Mus musculus: one gene and its partners. The protein of the gene in region 3 purifies or fractionates together with the protein of the main gene of each other region. This does not show direct contact. Links are inferred from orthologs where the notes say so. Each region holds a gene or a part of one and is shown on either strand. Other genes may lie near its edges.

Region 1 (3,500 bases), on a different chromosome or scaffold from region 3:
TATGTTAAAACATTTATATAGTCCACAATTCTTTCACATCTTTGTCGCAAAAAAATTCAAGTATACATATAAGTGGGAAGAATTGTGTGATGCATACCTGTGCTCAATTCTGATTTCTTTTTCTATTACAATTGATTGATATTCATTGACGAAGTGATTTGCCTTCTGGAATGTGACTTGATTTAAACTTGGTTTATATAAATGTTTATTGAAACATTTTTCTGAGCCGGTGTGGTGGCGCACGCCTTTTATCCGAGCACTCAGGAAGCAGAGGCAGGTGGATTTCTGAGTTTGAGGCCAGCCTGGTCTACAAAGTGAGTTCCAAGACAGCCAGGACTATACAGAGAAACCCTATCTTCAAAAACCAAAAAAAAAAAAAAAAAAAAAAAAGAAAAAAAGAAAAAGAAAGAAAGAAAGCAAGCAAGCAAGCATTTTTCTGGTTCTTTGGCATGAAGTAGTAGATAATTGGTCTGGTCAGAGGTTATGATACTTGTTTCACCTGTCCACTCACCATGGATGGTTTTGTTCTTCAATCAAAGACATAATCGCAGATGGCTCTCCTTTTAAGATGTTACCATTCATTGATGACTCTTCACGAGGTTCATTATTTCATTAAGGATATTTAACATAGTAATGCAATTCTGCCATTTCTTCATTTACTTCTTCAGAGAGAATTCTTCCTTCATGAACCATCTTATTACTCTGAAGTATATTTTCTACAGAAAAAAAAACAAAACAAAACAAGTCTCCCCCAATTATTTACTAGATTAAAACAGAATAAACTGTTTTTTGGGTTTTTTTTTTTTGTTGTTTTAATCCAGCAGCAAATGACAATGTAGTGCTTTCTCTCTTGCTTAGATTGAAGTACATTTTGGTGTGTTTAAGTCTATACTAGTAGTTATCTTTGTGGATGATCAAATCAGTCTGAGTTTTCTGTGAGTAAATGCTTTGAGGTTGGCTCTCTGGCTCTCTCTCACCTGCTTTAATGGCTCCAGCCGACTGCGAGCCTGGAGGCCCTGTGCTCACCTGCACAGTTTTTGTTCCAACCCTGGACTTTCCTTTTTCCTCACGAAGCTCTTACTGCTTCCGTTTGGGGCAAATGAAATTATGAGCAATGATTTTTGCTTATAACTGAAACTATGATAGCTTCTACAGAATACGAGTAATTAATCTTAATATTTGAGATAAACTATTTGCCTTTAGCTCATTTCTATTGAAATTAGTGTAATTTCTGAAGTATAAGTTACTACTGCAACTTTGAAATACACATTTAGTTAATAGTAGGCCAACATTTGTATTTGTGGGTACCGTGACATTATAATTTTGAGTATTTTAATGAGTTTCTTTCAAAGGATAAACAGTTTTCACAGAAAAGTGACTTGGGTGTGATGTGAGTGTCTTATCCTAGAATCAAACAGAAGACAGTTTACGGAAGGAGCTGATTGCACTGCAGGAGGATAAACACAGCTATGAAACCACAGCCAAAGAGTCCCTGAGGCGGGTTCTTCAGGAGAAAATCGAAGTGGTTAGAAAACTTTCAGAAGTTGAGGTATTTCACTTTTACTGCCATTGTTTTTAAAGATTTGTTTTACTTTTAAAATTATGTCTATGTGAAGTAAGTGTGGGTATTGTGTGCTAGTGAACGTGTCTGCAGAAGGCTGAGGCCTCGAATCCACTGGACCTGGAATTATAGGCAGTTTTCACCCATCTGATGTGGATGCTGGGAACTGAGCTATCATTGCCTGGTCTGGAGTTAGAGCAGGTTGGCCCCTGGACTACTTTTGTCTTCCAAGTGGTGGAATTAAAGACTTGCTGGCACCATGTCTGGTGGGAATTGATCTTTTGTCACATAATTGACGATGGTCACATAAGGCTGAGACGTTACTACTTCAGCCATCCTCTAGAGCAGTGGCTCTCAGCCTTCCTAGTGCTCAGGCCTTTAATACAGTTCCTCATGTGTGCTGACCTGACTCCCAACCATAAGGTTATTTTTGTTGCTACTCCGTAACTGTAGTTTTGCTACTGTTAATTCTAATGTGAGCACCCATATTTTTGGATGGTCTTAGGCACCCTATGAGATTGTTCTGCCCACAGAAGTTAATACCTACTGCTTTAGGGTGGCACTTTATCTTAGGCTTTACAAGTTAATATTGTCCAGGTTCTATGAAAAATCAAAGTGTGATTCTTGTGACTGAGGATCTAGCTCAGTGGGCATGTGCTTAGCATGTGTGAGGACATGGATAATGGATAGTTTGTATTATGGTCTCATTCTATAACACGTGCTTTATGTTCATTGATGTTTGATTAATCTGACATACACACAAAGTTTCAGGTGTCTTTCTGTTTTCACATTAGATGAATTGTTATATGGTTTTATTCTTACTTTAAGGATTGTTGACTTAGAGGTTGAGTGCGATAGAGTGTACTTATAATCACCGCACTTGGGAGTCTAAGGCAGGAGATTCACAGGAGATTAGGCTAGCCTGTACTTCATAGTGAACTTGAAGCCAGCTTGAGTAACATAATATTGTTAAGAGTTACGTTTTAGTATATATGTTGCTGAAATTATTTTGTCTTTTAAATCAGCTTTTTATAAATTTAATCCAAATGTTGATGTAGACTAGTTCAGAACTACACTTTTTACAAATTGAAAATAAAATTGAACGATAAATTTAAAATAAGTACCCATTTACTCTAACTGAATTCCCTGTGAACTTGCCTTGCAGCGAAGTCTGAGTAATACTGAAGATGAATGTACCCACCTGAAAGAGATGAATGAGCGCACTCAGGAAGAGTTGAGAGAATTAGCCAATAAATATAATGGAGCAGTTAATGAAATTAAAGATTTATCTGATAAATTAAAGGTATGTATACTAGTTCCTTTTGTGTTGCTGTGGTAGGATACCATGAACAGAATACTTTATAGAAGGAAGAGGTTACTTGGGCTTGGGGTTCCAGAGGAGCCTTTCACCATCATGGCGAGGAAGTGTGGCAGCAGTCATCTATGGCAGCTGGAGCTGGAAGCTTAGAGATCACTGGGAATGGCTTGAGCCTCTGAAACATCCAAGTCTATACCCTGTGACATATTCCTCCCACAAAGGCACACTTCTTAGACCTACCCAAACAGCATTACCAACTGAGTACCAAGTGTTCAGACATGTGACCTGTGAGGGACATTCTTAATCCAGCCATCACAGCTTCTATGTCAACCACTAGACGCATGTTAGCGTCACTAACGTGCTAATCGCTTAAGACGTTTATTAGTCACTCAAGAGCTGGTGATGTAAAATTGGGTAAAATTAAAAAGTTGAAACTGATAGTGAAAATAGAAAATGTATTCTATTTAGTCTATCCTCTATTATTGTTGAAATTGAAAGCCTTTAAAGTAGACATACTTCTAGATGGAAATGTAGTCAGCACTTCATAACAGCAGATGTAGTGTTTGCTTCAGCATCCCATAGACTAAGAAAAGAACAGCATTTTCTAATATACACTTGGAA
Region 2 (2,838 bases), on a different chromosome or scaffold from region 3:
TGTTTAGTTTTTTGAGACAGGGTCTCTTGTAGCCCAGGCTGGTTTTGAATTTACTATGTAGCCAAGAATGACCTTGGATTTCTGCTCTTCCTGCTTCTGCTCCAAATTCTGGGATTACAGGCATGTGCCACCATGCCCAATTTATCTGCTGCTATCGGGCAGGCAGCATAGAGGGGAATAGCGCTGCTATATCCCACCCCTCTGTAATATCCCTTTACCACTCTTCTCATTTTAAAGTCGGTTTGTTTTTAACTCCTAGTGAAATAATTTGCACAGAACATCATACACAATTTATCTGTTTGTGTGTTGTAGGTCAGAAGGTAATTTTTAGAAGTTGGTTCTCTCCTTCCCTCATGTGGGTTCTGAGGAATTGAACTCAGGCCATCTGACTTCATGGTAAGCACTTAGACCTGCTGAGCCATCTCCTAGCCCTAACAGACATGTTCTTAAACCGGTACTGCCGTTTTCTGGAATGATTATTAAGATGTAAATTCCAGATTCCATCCATAAATTTCTATTTCATTAGGTGCATTTTAAGAAACATGGAAATAGACTTCAGTGGTAAATTATACATTCAGGACTTCTGCAATGAATAGGTTGTTAATGTGCTTTTCAAAGGTTTATACTGCTGAATATATTGAATAATTGCAAGCTGCTTATGACATCTATGTCATGAACACTTGCCATGGTTGCTATGTATGTGAATATGTGAAAAAAATCTCCTATACTTCTTTTTGCTTTTTTCAAGACAGGGTCTCCCTGTGTAGTCTCCTGGGACTCACTAGGTAAACCTGCATGTCCTCGAATTCAAGAGATGTGCCTCTGCCTTCCAAGTGCTGGGATTGCAGGTGTACATCGCCACTGCTCAGCTAAACTTCCTTTTTTTTTCCAGCTCAACTTCTTAGACTCATTTCTCAGTAAAATGAGCAAATCTTCTCAAAAAGGTTTTTATTAGTTAATATAATTTCATACTAAAATTTTATACACTAAATACTTCCACCCATTGCAAGAGATATTAGCATCTTCACACAAGTGTGAAACATTCTTTCTCCATTCAATGTGCTAGCTCTGCAATGCCTTCACAGCACTAACACCAGGCAGAATTTATACGACACAGGGCACCGAAAGCTTGCTCTACCCTCAGGACTGCAATGGAGAGATTCCTCTGAAAGCTAGATGCAAAGACCTTTGTAGTGAGTGCTACGGGAACAGAAGGCAGATAAAGAAAGGGACACCATGCTCACTGCTGAAATAGACTGACTGATAATGCTCTCACTGTGATGGGACCTGCTGTGACAGCTGACAAGTGGTAAAGGAACCCACCCCTGAATGGGTTTGTGGAGTACACACTTGGGGCCCTTAGGGGAAACATCAAGGGGAGCAGCTGGAGTGAAAGTTAACATGGGAACAAAAACCAAAGTCCATCTGGGCAAACAGTGCAAAAGGAATTATTTATAAACCTGACATATGAGCAAACCAAGATGAGAAGGAACTGACAGGGAGCTATTAGAATCTCAGGTTGTTCTTGATTGCCTGAATGCATGGCATCAGGAATGTGGTAACTTTCTGTGAGTAATAAAATGCTTCCATGAGAAAACCCAGCAGATGGAAAGACAGCAAAGTACTGATGCCGGTCTAAACCATCCCAGTGGTGCTGCTCTGCACAGCACAGCACAGCACAGCTGTGTGTCCATGAAAGTGCCTAGGAGCTAGGAACCTGTGAGTGAGGTATGTGTGTGTGTGTGTGTGTGTGTGTGTGTGTGTGTGTGTATGTGTATGTCTCATACAAGGCAACTACCTAAGCCGAAGACTCCTTAGGCAGACAGAATGGAAAACTACTTGGTCAAATAAATAAAAGCTATTTTTGGCATTTAAGTCCAATGTACATGTACAGTCATGTACATCTAATAGCTCCCTGTGCATGATGGGGCAGGCCCAAGTTCCTCAGCACTCTCTGAATGACTGTGGATCCTTGAGGAGGAGGAGGAGCAACGCGAACCCGGCTTACTTGTTTTCAAGCGTATTTCCTGGGGACTAATAGATTCTCTCAAATTAAGAGCAAAGACACCTGACCACAAAGTGCCAACTCCTAGCACCGGAGAGGATCAAACCCCATGGATGAGCGACGTCACTCAGAGACTCTGCCAATCTGCTTCTTTGAAGTCATGCTACTTTTACAAGTGGAAGAAAAAAAAAATCTAGGTTTACACCAAATATGTATTTTTAAAAAGTTAAATCTTTGAAAAACTCTTAGAAGGAATTTTTATAATCCTATATAAAATAAAATCCTGGCTTATAATAAAAGTGTTCAGTGTTTCCAAGCTGTGAAAAACAACATTGAACTGCAGGTAACAGTTTATAGAGATTCCGGACTAGAGTGACAAATGTCATCTCTGTCCCAGCAATGGGGGACTTGTCTAGTTTCACTAGTACACCCCAAACTAGTTAGTGGACAATGAATACCAAGTGGCAATTCTAAACTGCCACCCCATACCTCTACCCAACACTAAGTCAAGTCTGCGGCAGGACTCTTGGACACGGCAGGAGAGGAGGGCACGGCTTCTCGCTCTGACGGGCAAGCTGTAGCCAGCCTTCGGAAGTCCAGTTACTTGATGGTCTGAGAGGCAGGAGCCACAGAGCTTTCTTTTCCAACCTGCAGAGATTCACTGCTGATGGACAGTAACTCTCGAAGTTCCTTATTTTCAAGCTGGGGAGAAAAGATATTTCCTGTGTTTTAATTGTTAAACTATGTCAGAACATACTATTTTGGCCCAGAAAGAGGAAAAAAAAATTTTTTTTTGGCTTTTCTTTTTTAAGATTTATTTATTATTATACATA
Region 3 (4,055 bases):
AGTCAATCACTCCACCCTGATTTGGGGAAATATTGCACATTAATTTAAAGAACACATGGCAAATTCAAGATTTCTTGCTACTTAAACAACCTAAAAGTTGCTTGCTTCTAACTCTAACAAAACTATAGGAGACCATTATGATCCCAGAATATATTTCTACATTATAGTTTTTGGGAAATACAACAAAACTATTCTAGGCTAAAGGGTCATGCTGCATGCTGTGAATGTGTTTTAGGTCCCTGTATAATTTCAAAGATGGAAAAGCTGTCTTCTTTAAATGTTGCAGCAAGTGCTTAAGAACTACATCTAGAAATAAAAATGAAAATAATTGGATAACGTGCTACTTCACTTAGATGGAAAGTGGCGGAGCAAGAATCAATAATCTTTGCTTGCTGAATGTGAGATGACTATCCTGTACAGCTAAGGACTGACAAATTAATAACTTGGGGAAGGCACACCATGCAAGGCAAAGTTGATCATTTCAAATATGTGATTCCCATTTCAACCCACCTTAATTAAGATCTAAAAATCCAAGAGATAGCTAGCTCCCATAATTAAACAAAGCAAGGAGCAATGTGACAATGCTCAACGGTGAGCACTTAGCAAACCATCTCTATCCAATAAAGTCAGAACAAATTAAATAAAGACCAGAAACCACATAAATCAAATAAAGTCAAGCCAAATGAAATAAAGACCAGGAACCCTTTTCTGGTGATCACACTGAGTAGCCCAGAATCACACAAAGTTGATGAAGGGGAGGCACCAGTGTGGCCGCATGCAGGCAGGCGCCTGCTCACAATGGAGAGAGAAGCATGGAGCCTCTGAGCAGTAGCCATATGTAAAGTTCTATGTCTCCACATAATAGAAAGCTGTGCACGAAGGGGGAAAGTTCACGTGTCGTTCCAAACCAGGCAGAGCAAAACCAGTTCCTATTGCAAACTACTACTTGTCCAGATACAAGCAAAGTCAGACTTCAATGAATGGCGTGTGGGGCAGAGCAGTTAGGGAAAAGAGAGCCAGAGATGGAGAATGCATGAGGAAAAAAAAGTTTGGGGCACTGGGAAAAACTGAAATGGATTAATACCACAAAAAGCCCCACTCTTTCTATTTTACATTTCTTTCCCTCCCCTTCCTGAGTCTCAACCCAGACCTGCCCTTAAATACAGGAGACATGTATGTCCTGTACAAATGACCCCTTTGAGGAGAAAGGATATTTTTAAAAGCACCTTTTTATTTTTATCATAAATACAATGAGACCAGTCAGCACATGCGGCAGTAGACAGAGACTCCAATTCACAAAGTTTGGACTCCTAGTAGAAGCGTAAGCTATGCAGTGGTCTCCACATTTCAGAACTTGAAATAATTTGTTTGTTTGACTTAGCATAGTTAGAAGATCATAAGGAACCCAGTCTCAGTGTTTTTAGCCTCTGACTTATAACTCATAAAGGGTTATTTAGGTTGCCATGGGGGATACCCCAAATGTAAATGCTTTAAAAAGTTAAGAGTGGTTAAAAAAACAACAAGATGTGTAAAACATTTGTTGACATAATTTTCTTTAACGAAACGATAGTATAATGGGAGGAGAACTGTATGGATTTTGAGTAAAATGTTGGGTCCCACACTTTTTTCCCCCTTTGCGCTGGACAAAAGCTTAAGTACGTGTACCAACCACCTTAGCAGACAGACAAGGAGAAAGGTATGTGGAGTCATTACCTAGGCCCTCAGAACAGGATCCTGCAGTCCTTGGAACACTACCCACTGAGCTAGGTAGGGGAGCGTGATAGAAGTTTGCTTCTAAGTGGCACCAAAGGGGAAAAGAAGGCATCTTGCTCTTCTGTCTTTGCACACAGGAAGAACCAAATTCAATGCCTCCACCACTCCTGGTCTCGCTCCGCCCCAACCTCTGTGTGTGTACCGTGTGGGGGCACCTCTTGGGTGTTTTAGCCCACACATTCCAGGACGCCTCTATCTCATCGAGGTTAAGTTCTGGGACTCCCCCACGCTGAATCCTCAACTGTGCCACGATTAACAAGCCAACAAGTACAGGTGCCTAAGGTTCTGGCCTATTTTTATACGTGTACTCCCCCCCCCCCCACACACACACACACCAACACCAACTGAGTCTCTCCCCAGTCGCCTCAATCTCTCCAGTGCAAAACACCTTCTAGCCCGGACGCCAGGAAACACCTCGAGCTTTACTTCGGGGTCACCTGGTGAGAGATCCGGCCCTGCCTTCAGGTTTGCCCCGTGGCTGCCCTGGTCCCTGGTGCCTGGTGCCCAAAGCGGGGCTTCGGAGCAGTCACGTGGGCGGCACGGGAGGCCTGGGCTTCCTCACCTGCATCCCAGGCACTTGAACAGCCACCGGTGAGTGGGCCATGGTGGCGACTGCTACTTCGCGCTGCTTCTGCGGTGGTGGCGGTGGCGCCTCCGGCAGAGACTGGCTCCTCCTACGGAGGTATCTCTGCAGCTCTACCAGGCTTCTCGATCGAGGCCTGGAAGGACGCAGAGAAGTGGAGTTAGTGGGCTGGTGGCTTGCAGCCTCCACTCCCCCCATTCCGCCCCCCCCCCCCCTGCGGGGAGGTGAGCGGTTCGCGCCGCTGCTCTCCCGGACTCAGTTTACCTACCTCTCTGCCGCTCGCCTGCCTGGCTTTTGGCTAACTGCAGTGTTGCTCTCTTTCCTGAATGCAGGGCTTGACCTGTGGCGGTGCCTGGGACCTGGGCTCCAGTGATGCCGCTTTGCTGCGCCTCGCCGCTTTAGGAAGAGGAGGTGGAGGCACCCCAGCAACCCGCCCGAACGCTTAGGCTGGGAGGCGGCTGGGGGCGGTTCCCCGGTTGGCCCTGCCTCCACCCCGCTGCCGGGCGGTGTCAGGGGAGCTGAGGCTTCAGGCTGCAAAGGGGGTTGGCTAACATAGCCAGAGTTGGAGACGCTCGGGGCTCTCAGGGGTTGCGGAGAGCAGCAGAAAGGCGGGATCGGGATCGAAAAACTTGGAACATAACCGAGCCTGGAGAAAGAACAGAAGAGTTTGCGGGAGTGGGGTAGGGGAGATGAGGGCAACCCGGATGAATGCGGCCACGTTGCAGACAGGCTTGCGAGGCTGGGGTGCTTGTAGCCTCCCAGAGGTCTGGAGTTGCAAAAGTTTTGCTTGGCTCCCCCACCTGGCCAAGGGTGGGGCCACCGAGCCAGACACCTGCTCCTTCACGCCTAAGTTCCTTCCCTCTTGCAATTTTCAGCTTCCTTGCCCTTAGATATGCCTCAAGTCACTTTAACCTGAGTCTGTCCTTACCTTAGGCTATTAGTTGAGGAACGGCCTGGCTGAAATTGCTCACAATTTCTGCGCGTGTAAAAGAGAGGCAAATTGGAAAACGGATCATGTATTGGCAGAAAACTTAACAACGATAACAGAGGCAAGGAGCATGAGATTACATCTTTCCGAGTATAGATATTTGAATTTAGCATGCAGCACAGTGACTTCTGCAACTCTCTGCCTTCTTCTAATTTAAGTTCAACTCCAGGAGTGAGGCAGACCCTTTCTGGAGGACCCAATAACACAATAATGACAGTGATAATAATAGCAGTCACAGGAGTCTCAGGGAAGCACCTATGTGAACACCCGGGCTACTAAAGGTTACAGGACAAAATAAGATCCAAGTAAATGTGTAAAATGAGAACTCACCTTGAAGTTTGCCAGATGCCCGTGCAACCAATGCACACTCAACAAATGCTATTCTTTTTTAAATAATTTTTTTCTCCAAGAACAGTATCTGGTTATTATCAACATTAGTAGTAGTAGTAGATTTCGTTTTCATTGCCCCAGAGATCCCGAAATTTACCCTCTGTATATTGTAAAGAGTTATTGTGACAAGCGCTCACTTGAGTCACACTGCCTTCTCCCCACTGAGCAAATAGATCAAAAGGCTCAGCCAAGTAAATATTTGACTCAAATATTGCAATTAAAAAGCAATACATCTGAGAAGTCCAATCTGGGCCCCCCTGCCACATACTACCTTCTATTAATATGGTAGAAGTATATTAAATATGGTATTGATTTTACCTT
Region 4 (3,500 bases), on a different chromosome or scaffold from region 3:
CTAAAAATAACATGTCCTCATTAAGGTTAATTTAATTAGCACCAGATAGAAAGTCTGAAAATAACAGTATGGGTTTGTGCTAAGAAAGTATTAACAGATTGATAGTGTTAGAAACCATGTAATCTTCTAGGGATACATGTTCATGTCTCTGTGTGTGTGATTCAAAAAGGAATGGTAGTATCTGTCTCTTCTTCCTGCTCACTAACTAGGGTCACTTTAACCTACAGGCTGGTCACCCTCCCTAACCCCTTTGCTAATGAGTGGTGGTCCTGCCCCCCTGGCTGGCAGGCCCACCCTTCTTCAGCAAGCTGCTGCCCAGGGAAATGTCACTTTATTATCAATGCTGCTTAATGAAGAAGGACTGGACATAAATTACTCCTGCGAAGATGGCCATTCTGCCTTGTATTCTGCTGCTAAGAATGGACATACAGGTAAAAAGCCAAAACAAAACAAAACAAAAAAAACAAACCAACAGTGTCTTACCTTAACATACTTGGCAAAAGTATGGATGACCAAAGGTGATTTAAATCACTGCTGTGAGCAAAGGGTCCTCTTGGATTTCTTTTTTTTTTTTTTTTAAGGAGGAACAGAATGGGGATTTTTTAAAAATAAGTTTTAAAGTCTTATGAATATTTAAGGACCTAATTATATGGCCCCTTACTGTAAAATGTAGAGCCAGTGGTGAATCAATTTTCACAAAGGTACAACAAAATGTATTGTCCATATAGAGATTTTTAAACACACATTAAAATGTAACTCTCCATCCGAGGTCACTCTTGTCAGCACAGAGTAACCCTGATTTCCTTGGTAGCAAGAATACCTGCTGTGGGAGAAGCAGGTCTTCCAGGCTCTTAGGCTTAGGTGTTGAGTGGCTGCCACAGTGAGGCTCTACCAATTAGAAAGAGTGGACTTGTAATAATTTATAGTTATTTAGATTGGTTTTTTTTTTGAGAAGTGAAAACTTACTATAAATGTTATGACAGCAAAGACTAATAATTCTTTTTACTCTTTCAAATGCAAATCTTGTAGTTAACTATACTAAAACACGTGGTAACACAGAAAAAGAGATGGCTTGACTACATGTTCTAAGCTACTATGTGTGTGCACTGTGGACTATTTCCTGCTTGGATCAGATAGACTCGGAGCTAAGGAGACTCAGTACATGTAAAGCACTTTGGAATTCAAAAGGCACTGGGGGAATTTTCTTCACTGTAGAGAAATTAAATTTAGATCATTCAGTATTATTTATGAAAGTTCTGTGTTAGTGATGTTTGTGTCTCAGGTGGCTTTCTGTGGGCTTTCCTTGATCTTCAAGTAGCCAAGTGTAGGATGGCCCACATAGAAGTACTTTGATGATTAGATTAGCATTAATCATTCAGTAAGAATGTAACTATATAAATACAGTTTGGTAAACAGATCTGATTGTCTGCCCCAAAACATTCTTTTGAAGAAAATCAGGCCTAGAACCTAGCAAAGTATTTTTCCGGTACATGGTATTCTTTTTTTAACCCATCAACAACTCTACTGGAAATATTTTTTTAAAACCATGTCTTGGTGGCTGTGGAGATATCCTGTCTTCAGGAAAAGAGATGGCTCTCCATGTGAAAGTCTGTGGCATGCCACATCCAGCAGGACAGAGCGGTCAGGTCAGCCTTTGCTGCTAGATTCTCTGCACAGCTTAGAGGGAACCTGGCTCATCATTGCACTGAGTGACCTTCTGTTAAAATCCTGTAGACTGTGTGCGATTGCTGCTGAATGCAGAAGCCCGAGTCGACGCTGCTGATAAAAATGGCTTCACACCCTTGTGCGTCGCAGCTGCTCAGGGACATTTTGAGTAAGTGATGCTCTTCATTCTTCTTTTCCTATGGAAGTGGACCCCTTTTTAATATTTGGCACAGAGTTCACTCCTGCTAAGTATGTAAATGAGTGGTTAATAGTCATTGAGAAATCCACCAAACATATTTGAGTGTTCAAATGCAAAGAAGGACCTTAGATTTGTTCTCATAATAATAGTTAAGTGCTGTATCTAAAGCAAGTGTGTATATGTCTAGTCTGTATATAATCTGTACATAGATGTATACAATCTGATCTATCCATCAATGAACTTGCTTCTGGAAAAGCTCAACATTAGTATAGCAATGGAGAACAAAGTAAGGTGTGCTGAGAGCTTTGTCTGCTTTCTCTTTTCTATAAAGGCTTTTGTTAGTGCTAACATTAAAGGTAGAACGTAGAATTATATTGTTTACTAAAATCCCGTTATTCTACAGTAAGGTAAGTTATTTGATAGTCCCAAATGCTCCTGTTTCTTCATTCACAATTAAGAGAAAAATCAAAGCAAAGCTTTTGCAAACTGAAAGTAGCTCATGTACAAAGGGAACCTGTTAATTAATATGCACATAACTTTAACCATGAGTTCTAAAGAGCTTCGAAGTCATTAAATACAGGGATTTCTTTTTAAAAACTAAAAGTCCCATTTTAATAATAGAATATTGTCAAATTGCTGTCCTGCGTGTGCTGAGCTGGCAGGTTGTGAGGAATAAATACTGCAGCCACCTTTCAGATCCATCTGTCCAGAGAGAAATAGTCTTGCACAAATTACAGCATCCATGACATTTTGGTTATAAGCCTTAGCCTTCAACAGCTGAGCTACTTCCCCAGCTCAAACTATACCATTCTTAAAAATAAAGCTTTTTAGAATTCACATCAGCACTGTTAATTCTAAGTGTGTTCTCCAGTATTCCGGAGGCAGCCTTCAGTGTCTAGAGTCATTGCTCGTATGTGTCTGCCATGCGTCTCAGCAGCCTGGCTTCAGTTTGGGAACTCACATCAGAGCTACTTTTTGCTGTTACCTTCTGGTTATATTCTGTGTCCCACTGAACAGATCTCTCCTGCTGGCTTGGGTTTCCGTGTCCGTCACCTTCATGTTACCAGGCCATCTGTAAGCTCCGTGCTTGGAGGATGTCACTGTCACAGTACAGAAGCATGGATAGCTTTGGACAAAAAAAAACAAAAAAACAAAAAAAAACAAAACCCTGTGGAAATTCAGGAATCAGTAAATTTAAAGATTGCGTCACACAGATATGTCAGCGTGTTACTTAAAAAAAAAAAAAGTAATAACTTATGTAAGCCAAATGCTGAAAGAAAAATGAACTCCCCAAAGGCAAATCCTTCACTTTGTCCACATTCTATCTCTGTGTTGAACTAATCACAAAGTCGCAGTCGCAGCATGGCCTCCTTTTCTTCTTGAGTGTGTTTCTGTGTAGCTGTGTCCTCAGAAGCCAGCTCCTACCCAAAGAGACAGCCTCTTCCATCCTTCTCTCAAGGCAGCCCTTTTCCCAGCCCCCTGCTCCTTTTTATAGAGGAAGCACACAGTGCTCGGCTGTCTATGCTATTTATAATCATTTTCTTGAGTGAATAAAAAAAAAAATCACAGAATGATTCAGCAGCCTCATGTGTTTTTTTGGGGTTTTTTTTTTGTTTTTTTTTTTGTTTTTTTTTTT

The links.
Region 1: the proteins of Stk26 (region 3) and Slmap purify together in Homo sapiens (affinity purification with mass spectrometry; 5 studies listed by BioGRID and IntAct, with this or other methods). This does not show direct contact. The link is inferred for Mus musculus from reciprocal best matches to the Homo sapiens genes STK26 and SLMAP.
Region 2: the proteins of Stk26 (region 3) and Sike1 purify together in Homo sapiens (affinity purification with mass spectrometry; 4 studies listed by BioGRID and IntAct, with this or other methods). This does not show direct contact. The link is inferred for Mus musculus from reciprocal best matches to the Homo sapiens genes STK26 and SIKE1.
Region 4: the proteins of Stk26 (region 3) and Cttnbp2 purify together in Homo sapiens (affinity purification with mass spectrometry; 4 studies listed by BioGRID and IntAct, with this or other methods). This does not show direct contact. The link is inferred for Mus musculus from reciprocal best matches to the Homo sapiens genes STK26 and CTTNBP2.

Annotation. Positions count from the first base shown.
Region 1 is NC_000080.6:26,461,625-26,465,124, reverse strand, and holds part of Slmap (sarcolemmal membrane-associated protein), read left to right. Parts: intron 1-1,408; coding exon 1,409-1,549; intron 1,550-2,726; coding exon 2,727-2,864; intron 2,865-3,500. UniProt on the Homo sapiens protein: Associates with the striatin-interacting phosphatase and kinase (STRIPAK) core complex, forming the extended (SIKE1:SLMAP)STRIPAK complex.
Region 2 is NC_000069.6:103,001,577-103,004,414, reverse strand, and holds the end of Sike1 (suppressor of IKBKE 1), read right to left. Parts: intron 2,708-2,838; coding exon 2,606-2,707; 3' UTR 501-2,605; downstream 1-500.
Region 3 is NC_000086.7:50,840,116-50,844,170, reverse strand, and holds the start of Stk26 (serine/threonine-protein kinase 26), read right to left. Parts: upstream 2,801-4,055; 5' UTR 2,625-2,800; intron 2,493-2,624; 5' UTR 2,378-2,492; coding exon 2,336-2,377; intron 1-2,335. UniProt on the Homo sapiens protein: Serine/threonine-protein kinase that acts as a mediator of cell growth. Modulates apoptosis. In association with STK24 negatively regulates Golgi reorientation in polarized cell migration upon RHO activation.
Region 4 is NC_000072.6:18,424,370-18,427,869, reverse strand, and holds part of Cttnbp2 (cortactin-binding protein 2), read left to right. Parts: intron 1-227; coding exon 228-431; intron 432-1,734; coding exon 1,735-1,834; intron 1,835-3,500. UniProt on the Homo sapiens protein: Regulates the dendritic spine distribution of CTTN/cortactin in hippocampal neurons, and thus controls dendritic spinogenesis and dendritic spine maintenance.